3 separate regions of the Mus musculus genome follow, and regions 2 and 3 are each reported to be linked to region 1. Evidence: microRNA targets listed by miRTarBase, many of them from high-throughput screens and not tested one by one. Region 1 holds a microRNA gene; each other region holds the end of a gene's coding sequence.
Evidence for each region. Region 1 holds the annotated microRNA mmu-miR-302b-3p (UAAGUGCUUCCAUGUUUUAGUAG, at 2,020-2,042, shown strand). A microRNA usually pairs through its seed, bases 2 to 8, with sites in the 3' UTR of a target mRNA and lowers its output. Matches are read on the target gene's strand: a 7mer-m8 pairs with bases 2 to 8, a 7mer-A1 pairs with bases 2 to 7 and ends in A, and an 8mer does both.

Region 1 (3,000 bases):
TCAGGCTAGTTTAAGGATCTCAGAATTGTAAATAATATTAAGGAATCACACTGCCCATTGGAATCAACATGGCACAAAAGGCATTATACCTCTAAACCAAAGAATAAAGCCTTAATAAAGATGTATGCCTATATGAACATAAGACTATTCAAAGTATTCTATTCTTTTTTTTTTTTTTTTTTGGTTTTTCGGGACAGGGTTTCTCTGTATAGCCCTGGCTGTCCTGGAACTCACTTTGTAGACCAGGCTGGCCTTGAACTCAGAAATCCGCCTGCCTCTGTCTCCCCAGTGCTGGGATCAAAGGCATGAGCCACCACTGCCTGGCTTCAACAATTTCATTTTTTAAAAAATTTGTTTATTTATTTTATTTATGAGGACGCTGCAGCTGTCTTCAGACACTCCAGGATAGGGTATCAGATCCCACCATGTGGTTGCTAGGACTTGAACTCAGGACCTCTGGAAGAGCAGTCAGTGTGCTTAACCACTGAGCCATTTCTCCAGCCACAAAGTATACTGTTCAAATATGAGAATTTGTATAATTTGCAAGAACTTAAAACCTTTACTAATATTACAATGAACGAGAGTAGTGCTCTAATATGCTCCTGCTTGCTGAACATCATCCACTAAGCCTGCAGTCTTTATTTCTCTCTCCAGGCACTCACAAGTGAGCTCGCAGGTAAGTAGAGAAGAATAAACAGACTATTAAAACCTAGTGTGTAATACAAAACTTCACATTTTTACTTTTCTTAAAACATTTTGTTTTTGGAAATGGTTCAGCTTAAAACTGAGGAAGCCACTCTATCACTGCAATAAAACTGCCCCTGAAACCATTCATAGACTAAAGCCCACTCTTCCATTACATGAGCGTCACCCTCTCCGTTCCCCACTGCACACTTACTAGGCGCTTTACAGTCTGTTTCCATTTCTGATTCCAATTTGATTTGAGATATTGTTTTTTTTAGAGAAGCCATGCTAGCTTTTTGCAGTGCCAAATACTCTTTCTTCAAATCCATCCATTCAGTCCTGAAAAACAAAAATTGAGCCATTACAGTGATAAGACGACCCAACTAGAAATCTGAAGTTGATCTAAACACAATGTTCATAGGAACTGCAAGTCTTTCTGACTTTTCTTTCTTTTAAGGCATATGTTTACATTATTTGTTAAGCCATTTGTTAAAGCTACCTAGCAAACACACAAAGGAAGTTTCTTTGTCTTAACAGGCAAGGAAAATGCTTGAGTTTCCTGGTTGCTTCTAATATTTAATTGTAAAATCACTTTTGAGTCACTTCTATTAAGTAAAATCACTAAATCAGGCAACCTGGAGAAAAAGTAAGAGACTAAAACTTAAAGATTTCTCAAATTGCTTCCAATTTGAGAGCTAACATTCCTTAGGATTTACTTGAATCAAAAGGAATTTCTAAGAAGAAAAAAACACCCCATGGAAGCAATTTATTTATTTACATACATTTAACATGTAGATGTATCTTCAAACAGCTAGGGCTCCTCCAGAGAAGCACAATGCATCTCCTGGCTCTGTGGGAGCGCTCATTGTTACCCTAATCTGTGCCATCAAACGGGCAGATAGGAGATTTTTTTTAAAGAGGAGGATATCTTGTGGTAATGGTTTTAGCAGTTAACATTGACATCTGTTTACTTCAAAAAAGGAAAAAAAAAAAAAAAATCCAGACCTACCCAGGTCCCCAGGACCTACTTTCCCCAGAGCTGATACATTAAAATAACAAAGGGTCTTGTAATGATTCTCAGAGATAGAAAGCCAAAAGGAACTCAGGAGTTAGGAGTAGTATAAATACAAGTGGTCTAAAGTCGGCGTCTTTCACCCTCCGAGGACAGAACAGGACTCTTTGGGAGGCGGTCACGAAGGTAAAGGAGGTAAAGCTTATGTCTGTAACCGGGTCACTTTACTTTCCTGTGGGTTTGCTCTTCTGTTTTAACTAGTTGCCTTGTGGGTGGGTTCCCTTCAACTTTAACATGGGAATGCTTTCTGTCTCATCGAAGAGTAAGTGCTTCCATGTTTTAGTAGAAGTGAATTCAAGAAACTCTGGAATAAGAAAGCTAGCCTTTTAATTCAGAGTCTGATGGGAGTCCCCTCTGCTTTAACATGGGGTTACCTGCTGTGTTAAACAAAAGCAAGTGCTTCCATGTTTCAGTGGGGGTGTCTTAAACTGTTCAACATTTTCTCTAAGATGCTGTAGGTTAAGGGAGTTATTGACTGGGCTTCCCACCACTTAAACGTGGTTGTACTTGCTTTAGACCTAAGAAAGTAAGTGCTTCCATGTTTTGGTGATGGTATGTTTTCCTTTATATTCATGCCTTTGTAAAGACCACTCAAGTCTGCTTAAGGGGCCTCCTTTACTTTAACATGGAGGCACTTGCTGTGCATTTAAAAATAAGTGCTTCCATGTTTGAGTGTGGTGGCTCCTACTTAATCTTCATTGTGCTGCATATAGATAGACCAAGGCCGTCACTGTTGCTAACATGCAACTCTGTTGAATAGAAATTGGAATTGCACTTTAGCAATGGTGATGGACCTGTGTCAGTGGCCACTTACTTGGACAGCACTCTCAATGGTATAACCTCCTCGCCCATCTTATGTCTCTCCTTGTGTTTCTTCTTATGCTTCCTCTTCACCTTTGAGAGTGAGTCACCTTTTCTGTCTGTCTCCTTCTCCTCCTCAGTAGAGCAGAATTCTAAGTCTAGAAAAAAGATTTCCGTAAGTCCGTTGTTGTGGTTAAACTGGTTAAAACATTTGTAACCCTACTGCCACGGTACCTCTGCTCTCCTTGGAGACCTCGGAAGCTGCTTGGCCGACGCCATCCTTCTGAGCCCTTTTCTTAGCTTTTGGCCTTGGGGGGAGGCAGTCTTCGTCCTCGGCGCTGCACCTCTCCCTCTTCCCTGCCCTGGCTTCAGGTAAGCTGGATGCTTCCACCTTGTCCCGCTTCTTCTTTTTCTTTGCAGGTTGCTTTGGAGCTTCCGGGGTT
Region 2 (3,355 bases), not on the chromosome of region 1:
TACAACCTCAAAAATAAAGACTTAGACTATCTTTAAAATGGAAGATTTCAGATGAAATCAATCTCCCAGAATTCACTGGAAGGGTAGAAATGGAGCACAGCAGGTAAAGACATTTGCCTCATAAGCCCTACAGCTTGTGTTTAATATCCCATGAAGGTAGTAACCAAATTGTCCTGACCTCTACAACTACCATGGAACATGGATCTTACACAATATATACAACTTTAGTAGGTAACTTGCTATTTGTTGAATATACTCAGCATGACTTTTTTCTTTTAAGGATCATTAACCTCTCTGAAACACCATAAAGATGACATTTCAGTTATAAAAACTGGTATGGACTGTGGTCTTAGTTTAGATGAAGAAAAAGTCGAATTCAAACCGGGAGATCAAGTCATTTGTTATGAAGAAAATAAAGTTCCAACTAAGACTTCCTGGGATCCAGGATTTTAAAAGCACATTAAAAATGGTAAATGGGAAGCCGGGTGTGGTGGTGCACGCCTTTAATCCCAGCACTTGGGTGGCAGAGGCAGGCGGATTTCTGAGTTCGAGGCCAGCCTGGTCTACAAAGTGAGTTCCAGGACAGCCAGAGCTATACAGAGAAACCCTGTCTCGGAAAAACCAAAAAAATAAAAAAAAAAAAAAAAGGTAAATGGGCTGGAGAGATGGCTCACTGACTGCTCTTCTGGAGGTCCTGAGTTCAAATCCCAGCCACCACATGGTGGCTCACAACCATCCGTAATGAGATCTGACACTCTTCTGGAGTGTCTGAAGACAGCTACAGTGTACTTATATATAATAAATAATTCTTTTAAAAAAATGGTAAATATTTTCCCTTCATTTAAATACAGGGTCCTGAAATTAACTATGTACCACCATGCCTAGCTTGTATCTCTCATATAGGGGGAAAATTACCAATCAACACTGAAAACATTCAACAGCTTATGCACATACCAATACAGTATTATTCCCATATATTCCAAGCAGCTTTGACTTGGCACCTTCAACTTATTTGTGAGACATACTGTCCTGTAGCTTCTACTTCCAAGTCTACAGGATATTCCACAACCCCTTAAAAAGAATTGACCTTAGTGCCTGCCATCATGCCATGCCATGATGCCAAGTTTTATATTGGCTTTGACAGCTGCAGCTCATACAACATCACACAGCCAAAGAAACATTCTTTAAATGTACAATAAAGCACAATACTAAGTACGAGTTCCTTCTTTTTATTAACGCATACACAACTACTTGTCTTCTGGTTTGTTGAAGCAGTAAGTCAGACAACACTTGCCACAGTAATGCCTGTCAAAGTGGCTTCCCATGAAAACTCCAGCACCACATTCATCAGAAGGACACTCTCGACGAAGTCGGCTAATTTTGCCATTTTCATCCACCTGCAAAACAAGAATTTACTGTAAGATGATTTCACAAAACATATTCTGAAACCTGATTTAAGTGACTCAAGCTATTGATCTCACAGTACCAATTTTTAGTGGTTTAAGTCAGTTCTCCAAATTAAAAATCCTGTTTCCAATTCTATAAACTCACTTAAATATCAAAGGGGAGTTCACTTTCAACTCCAAAAGTACTTCCAAAAGTTAGTTGCTCAGATCTTATTCCAAGTGGAACCCATGTTTTGCTAACACCACACTTACCTTATAGTATTTCAGCACAGCCAACTTAACCTTCTTCCTCTTATGCTTGTTCTTCTTGGGAGTGGTGTAAGACTTCTTCTTCCTTTTCTTAGCACCACCCCGAAGTCTCAACACCAGATGAAGGGTGGACTCCTGTTAGTGGAAGATGAAACAGCAGCACTGTAGCATCAACAAGTCTAACTCCAGCCTGTCAAAAAGTTGGGTGGTGTTGGGCCTGTCACTCCAGCACTAGGAATTTTAAGGAGGCTCAGGAATCCAGTTCAAGTTGGCCCTGAGCTACAGGAGACTGCTCTCTACAAAAAGGGTCAACCAACCATCGCATATTTTAAAATCATGGAACAGCTACAGTGCTCAGCAAGTGTTAGTGGATTCAATATCATCCCTTTTTCTGCATGTTTTCCCTCAAACAAACCTTTTGAATGTTGTAGTCAGACAAAGTCCGGCCATCTTCCAGCTGCTTACCAGCAAAGATCAGCCTCTGCTGATCAGGAGGAATTCCTATTAGAGGAAAAAATACTGGGCTTAATAGAACAAGGTACATTCCCCATTGTTGTGAATCAAATGATTGCTAACAGTGGTCACAGACTTAGATGCAACTTTTTCCAAGAGTAAAAGCCCTGGAACTTTCTCTGTAACCAGGCTGCCTCTACCTCCTTAGTGTTGAGATTAAAGTGTGGACTGGGCCATTGCCCAGCCTGAGCATTTTATCGTCTTTGTGACTCAGTAAACAGTTCTAGATTAACTTTTAAAAGATTTGTCCTGCAGAGTTTCCAGTTAATCAGATAGCCTGACACTAATGTCAGGAATATTTTACTTTCAAAAGCATCTAAATTTATTAATCTGTTTTCTACCTTAAGAACAAACGTGTCTAGGTCACACAAGCCAGTCATTTTTCTAGTGACAAACTTTACTTGCCTTCCTTATCCTGGATCTTGGCCTTTACATTTTCTATAGTGTCCGAGGGTTCAACCTGCCAAGTTTTGATATATGTAGTTAATATACGGTTACATAGTAAGTCATTAACTGCTAGCTTTATACAAAACGAGCAAGGAGGAGGTGAGCTAAAGGTAATCAATTAAGATGACACCGCGTGCAAACTACCCAGAGTGCTACAATCCAAATTAGTCCCCATACCAGGGCGAGCGACGGCGGGGGAAGCACAGGAACGCGTCTGCCCGGAGAAAAGCGTCTCCCATCACCTACCCTACATTTCGCCACTCGGGATAAAGCAGGCTAAACCGTACCACACCGAAAACCAAACGTTGTTTTTGCTAAGCACCATAATCTCAGCTCAAAGCCAAGTTTCACAACTCAAAACTCAGAAACCCGCCCTCAAACACTAAGGGCCTCAGTCAGGCCTTGGCTTCCTCAACGGCAAGGTGGCCCGTACCTCGAGCGTGATGGTTTTCCCCGTAAGGGTCTTCACAAAGATCTGCATCGTGGCGGCGGCTCCACCTGCATTCGAAAAGAGACGGATTAGATCCGACGACACCCGTGAGAGCGACGCGTAGCGCCACTAGCCAGAGCGCGGCCACAGAGCATACACTCACCCACGATGGCGGATCGGAAAGGAAGATCCGAGCGTGGCCGACGGGGTCTCCTGGCCGAAGGACCCGCCCCTTAGGCGGCCACACACGTGCCTGCGCGCTGCAGCGGAATCGCGGCTGTCTAACGCAGTGCCAGATTTGCTCGTTCGC
Region 3 (3,355 bases), not on the chromosome of region 1:
GTACCATGTACTCCTGGATTTGTTACATGGCTGCTAGAGGAGCACAGGTTCTCATGGTTTCAAGCAGGTGCACTCACCCACTGAACTATCTCTCCAGCCCTCTGTCTCCTGCTTTTATCCATCACTTGATACTGAGGCTTGCCCCTCATAGTAATTTTTATTAATAGTGCTTTCTTTCAACGACTTTGCATTTTTAGGGTGAAACTCTCTTCAGTGTAGTACTGTTAAACCATTTAACCCCAGGAAAAGATTCTTTTCATTTCCTGCAAGATGACGAGTCTCTTATTATATTTAGGGTTTTTAATATTCTGAGCTATTTTTATTTGCTGATCTCATGAAAACTTGAAGCAGTTCCTTCAAGAGAAAATTGTGGTCCTGTTTAGTTAAAAACTAAAAACACCACTTGCTATGGGATGCACTGCATAACATACAAACATTGATTGCATAACTAACATAAAGGAGATAGAGAGAAAGTCGTTGCACTGACGTGTTCTCTTCCACAGGTGGCGCCAGTGATTAAAGCCAGAATGATGGAGTATGGGACCACAATGGTCAGCTACCAACCCTTAGGGGACAAGGTCAACTTCTTCCGCATGGTCATCTCAAACCCTGCAGCAACTCACCAAGACATTGACTTCCTTATTGAAGAAATCGAACGCCTCGGACAAGATTTGTAATCACCTCACTCATCAAACTGTTTCAGTTCTCTAGGTAGACAGCTAAGTTGTCACAAACTGTGTAAATGTATTTGTAGTTTGTTCCAGAATAATTCTATTTCTATATCGTGGTGTCACAGTAGAGTACAGTTTAAAAAAATCAAAACCAGTGGGGTGGTGGTGGCGCATGCCTTTAATCCCAGCACTTGGGAGGCAGAGGCAGGCAGATTTCTAAGTTCAAGGCCAGCCTGGTCTACAAAGTGAGTTCCAGGACAGCCAGGGCTACACAGAGAAACCCTGTCTCGAAAAAAACCAAAAAACAAAGAAATCAAAACCAACAGGAAACATCACTCCTTTTTAAAATCCTTTCTTAAGTTTAGAATACCTCTCTAATAATTAGTGACAAAAGGCTGTGTTCTAATCAGTAAGAGAAAGTATAAAATTGTTATAAATACTTCCCTTTTAATATAGTATGTTAATCCAACCTTATTTTCACTTCAGAGCAGTAGTAATAAATAGTGCCAAATCACCCTTGAATCATAAAAGGTTCTCTGGGGTACAGTGAAAAGGACAAAGTAAATATAAAATGTATGTGGACAAGAAAAACTCTTGCCTTTTTCATAGTATTAGGAAAAGAATTTCTAATTTACCTAGAGCAACATTTCAAATGTATTTAAATACATATAATTTTACAAAAGAAAAATATATATTAAAAGAAATCCTATTTTGTAACATATAGATTTTATTTTATATGGGTTATACAGACTGCAGAGGCAGATATGAAACATAAGCCAGAGTTATTTCTTTACTTTTTTCTATCTTTCTTCTCATGGAGGCACAATAAAACACTTTAGCAAGATAGTTTTAACATAGAACCCACAAAATTCTTTTAAAATGTAATAACTTACTTTAGAATACATTGTGGCTTATCATATCCCTAAAGCTAGTATTTCAAAGCAAACACACACAAAAATGAAACTTCTAAAAACAATTGAACAGATCAACAATTAAGATTCTCTTCCTGTTTAGATGTTGCACTAGTTGACCTCGCAGACCCTGTCTAGAAGCCAGGCAAGCCCAGCTTGGACCCAGATCCAGGCAAGCTCGTCCACTCTGCTTCCCGGCGGCCTGCTTTCAACCAAAGGTTGATATTAGTTCTTGAAGTGTCTTTTCAAACCATATTCTTTTATTAGATCATCTGGATTAATTAGGAAAAAGGGTGAAAATAAAACCAAATCAGCCCTAGCAAAGAGGGGTACAGCACACTCCTTAAGTGTGATAAGCACAGAATATTAAACCCAGTCATGGGAGTCGAGACCTCTGTATGACAAGAATGGCTTCCTCCCAGATGCCATTTTGCTACTGTCTGGGGAAAGGGTCGTTTGCATCCCAGATGCTCTCTTCTTCAAATTCCTTCTCCATCCCACACTTTAAAGTCTCTCCTGCTAGACTCCCTGCCCCCAGACCCCTAGTAATGAATTACTATCCCATGTGGCTCTTTTCCTTTCCTGAAATGAGTTCCTCATGCAAGCAATTTCAAGGTAGCCTAAGAACTTCTTTTATCTGCCTCCCATCAAGACCCACAGTGACTAGAATGTGCAGAGATCGCTAAAATTCAAATCAAGAGTTTGAAAATACGTTTCTTTCCCTGTAAACTGGATGGAGAATGATCAACAGCTCCCATGATAACTTTAAGTCACAGATGAACAGATCTAAGTGCTGGTAGAACTATGGACTTTTACATGCAAAAGGCAAGTACCAGTCTGGAAGCATTCTCCCACTCCATATGGATGGGCATTTTGGTACTCAGAAAGATACAGGAACAGAAGAAAGAAGGCCCTGTCCCTAACTACCACAAATCTTTACAACTTAGCCCAGACCTTATTTGACTAGACATACTGATCCTCAGTATGACTGTAGCTTTGGGCCCTTGCTGTCTAGACAGCCAAAAAGAAAACAACCTGTACACCAGAGTGTCATGAAGTAGGTCAGCACTCCCTAATGGACAGGCATAACTTTCCTTTCTAGAACCTGGCTGCTGAGAGTAAATATGCAGCTGCCCATCCATCTTGTGCCTCAGGCCCACAGATCTCACTTCCCGGGCAGAGACTCACTTATCAAACCGAGTGTCCCGCTTAGAGAAGGCAGAAGGGCCTACTGTCTGATAGATGGAAAGCTTAGCCCTTGGGGGACAGACTTAGTAGCTCAAGCTGGCTTCTAGTTTGATGAGATGACAGAATTTAAAAAGTTGTGTCCATGCACTTTTTGCTAGTGAATTGGATCTCCAATCCCCTTCTTCTCCAGATTCTTCCTCAAAATTTCTAGGAGCCTTGCTCGGGCATGCAAATCTTCTCATCCTGTATCCTAGAAAAGGAGGTACATGCATGCCCAGTACTTTAATAGATCCTCTACAGCAGCTCTGCCATCCACTCAGGAGAGTGCTAAGGAAAATGGGATGAAAGAGTAATAATGGAGTAATAATGGAGGGAGACTATATTGAACGTTGGTCCAAATCCCCAGTGCCAATGGTCTCTATCTGTGATTTTTTTTTCTTTTTAAACATTGGTTTCAGTTTTAATCAGAATTGATATGCTAATTTTTATTTATATAGCAATATTTCATTTATTATTTAAAATACTTGAAAAAAGTGCAGTATGTGTTTATCTAAGACTTCTAAGTGGTATAGACTTCATGTTCTG

Region 2: miRTarBase lists Mtif2 as a target of mmu-miR-302b-3p. Seed matches in the 3' UTR shown: 7mer-m8 at 512-518.
Region 3: miRTarBase lists Gad2 as a target of mmu-miR-302b-3p. Seed matches in the 3' UTR shown: 7mer-m8 at 858-864.

The regions. Positions count from the first base shown.
Region 1 is chr3:127,543,256-127,546,255 of GRCm38, forward strand. Mir302b (microRNA 302b) reads left to right here and starts at 1,973; the gene lies at 1,973-2,046. Larp7 (La ribonucleoprotein domain family, member 7) reads right to left here. Exons shown (of 13, transcript NM_138593.2): 7 at 2,792-3,000; 8 at 2,571-2,715; 9 at 899-1,023. It overlaps Gm51018 (predicted gene, 51018), which reads left to right and starts at 1,834. Exons shown (of 2, transcript NR_146435.1): 1 at 1,834-1,891. Mir302c (microRNA 302c) reads left to right here and starts at 2,108; the gene lies at 2,108-2,175. It also overlaps Mir302a, Mir302d and Mir367.
Region 2 is chr11:29,544,633-29,547,987 of GRCm38, forward strand. It overlaps Mtif2 (mitochondrial translational initiation factor 2), which reads left to right. Exons shown (of 14, transcript NM_133767.3): 14 at 281-820. The coding sequence ends at 453. It overlaps Rps27a (ribosomal protein S27A), which reads right to left. Exons shown (of 6, transcript NM_024277.2): 1 at 3,209-3,355; 2 at 3,049-3,113; 3 at 2,574-2,628; 4 at 2,071-2,156; 5 at 1,659-1,790; 6 at 1,210-1,397. The coding sequence starts at 3,096. The coding sequence ends at 1,248. It overlaps Clhc1 (clathrin heavy chain linker domain containing 1), which reads left to right and starts at 3,318. Exons shown (of 12, transcript NM_028504.1): 1 at 3,318-3,355.
Region 3 is chr2:22,689,670-22,693,024 of GRCm38, forward strand. It overlaps Gad2 (glutamic acid decarboxylase 2), which reads left to right. Exons shown (of 16, transcript NM_008078.2): 16 at 504-3,355. The coding sequence ends at 677. Among named protein-coding and RNA genes, the nearest start is that of Mir3967, 37 kb to the left of the region's middle.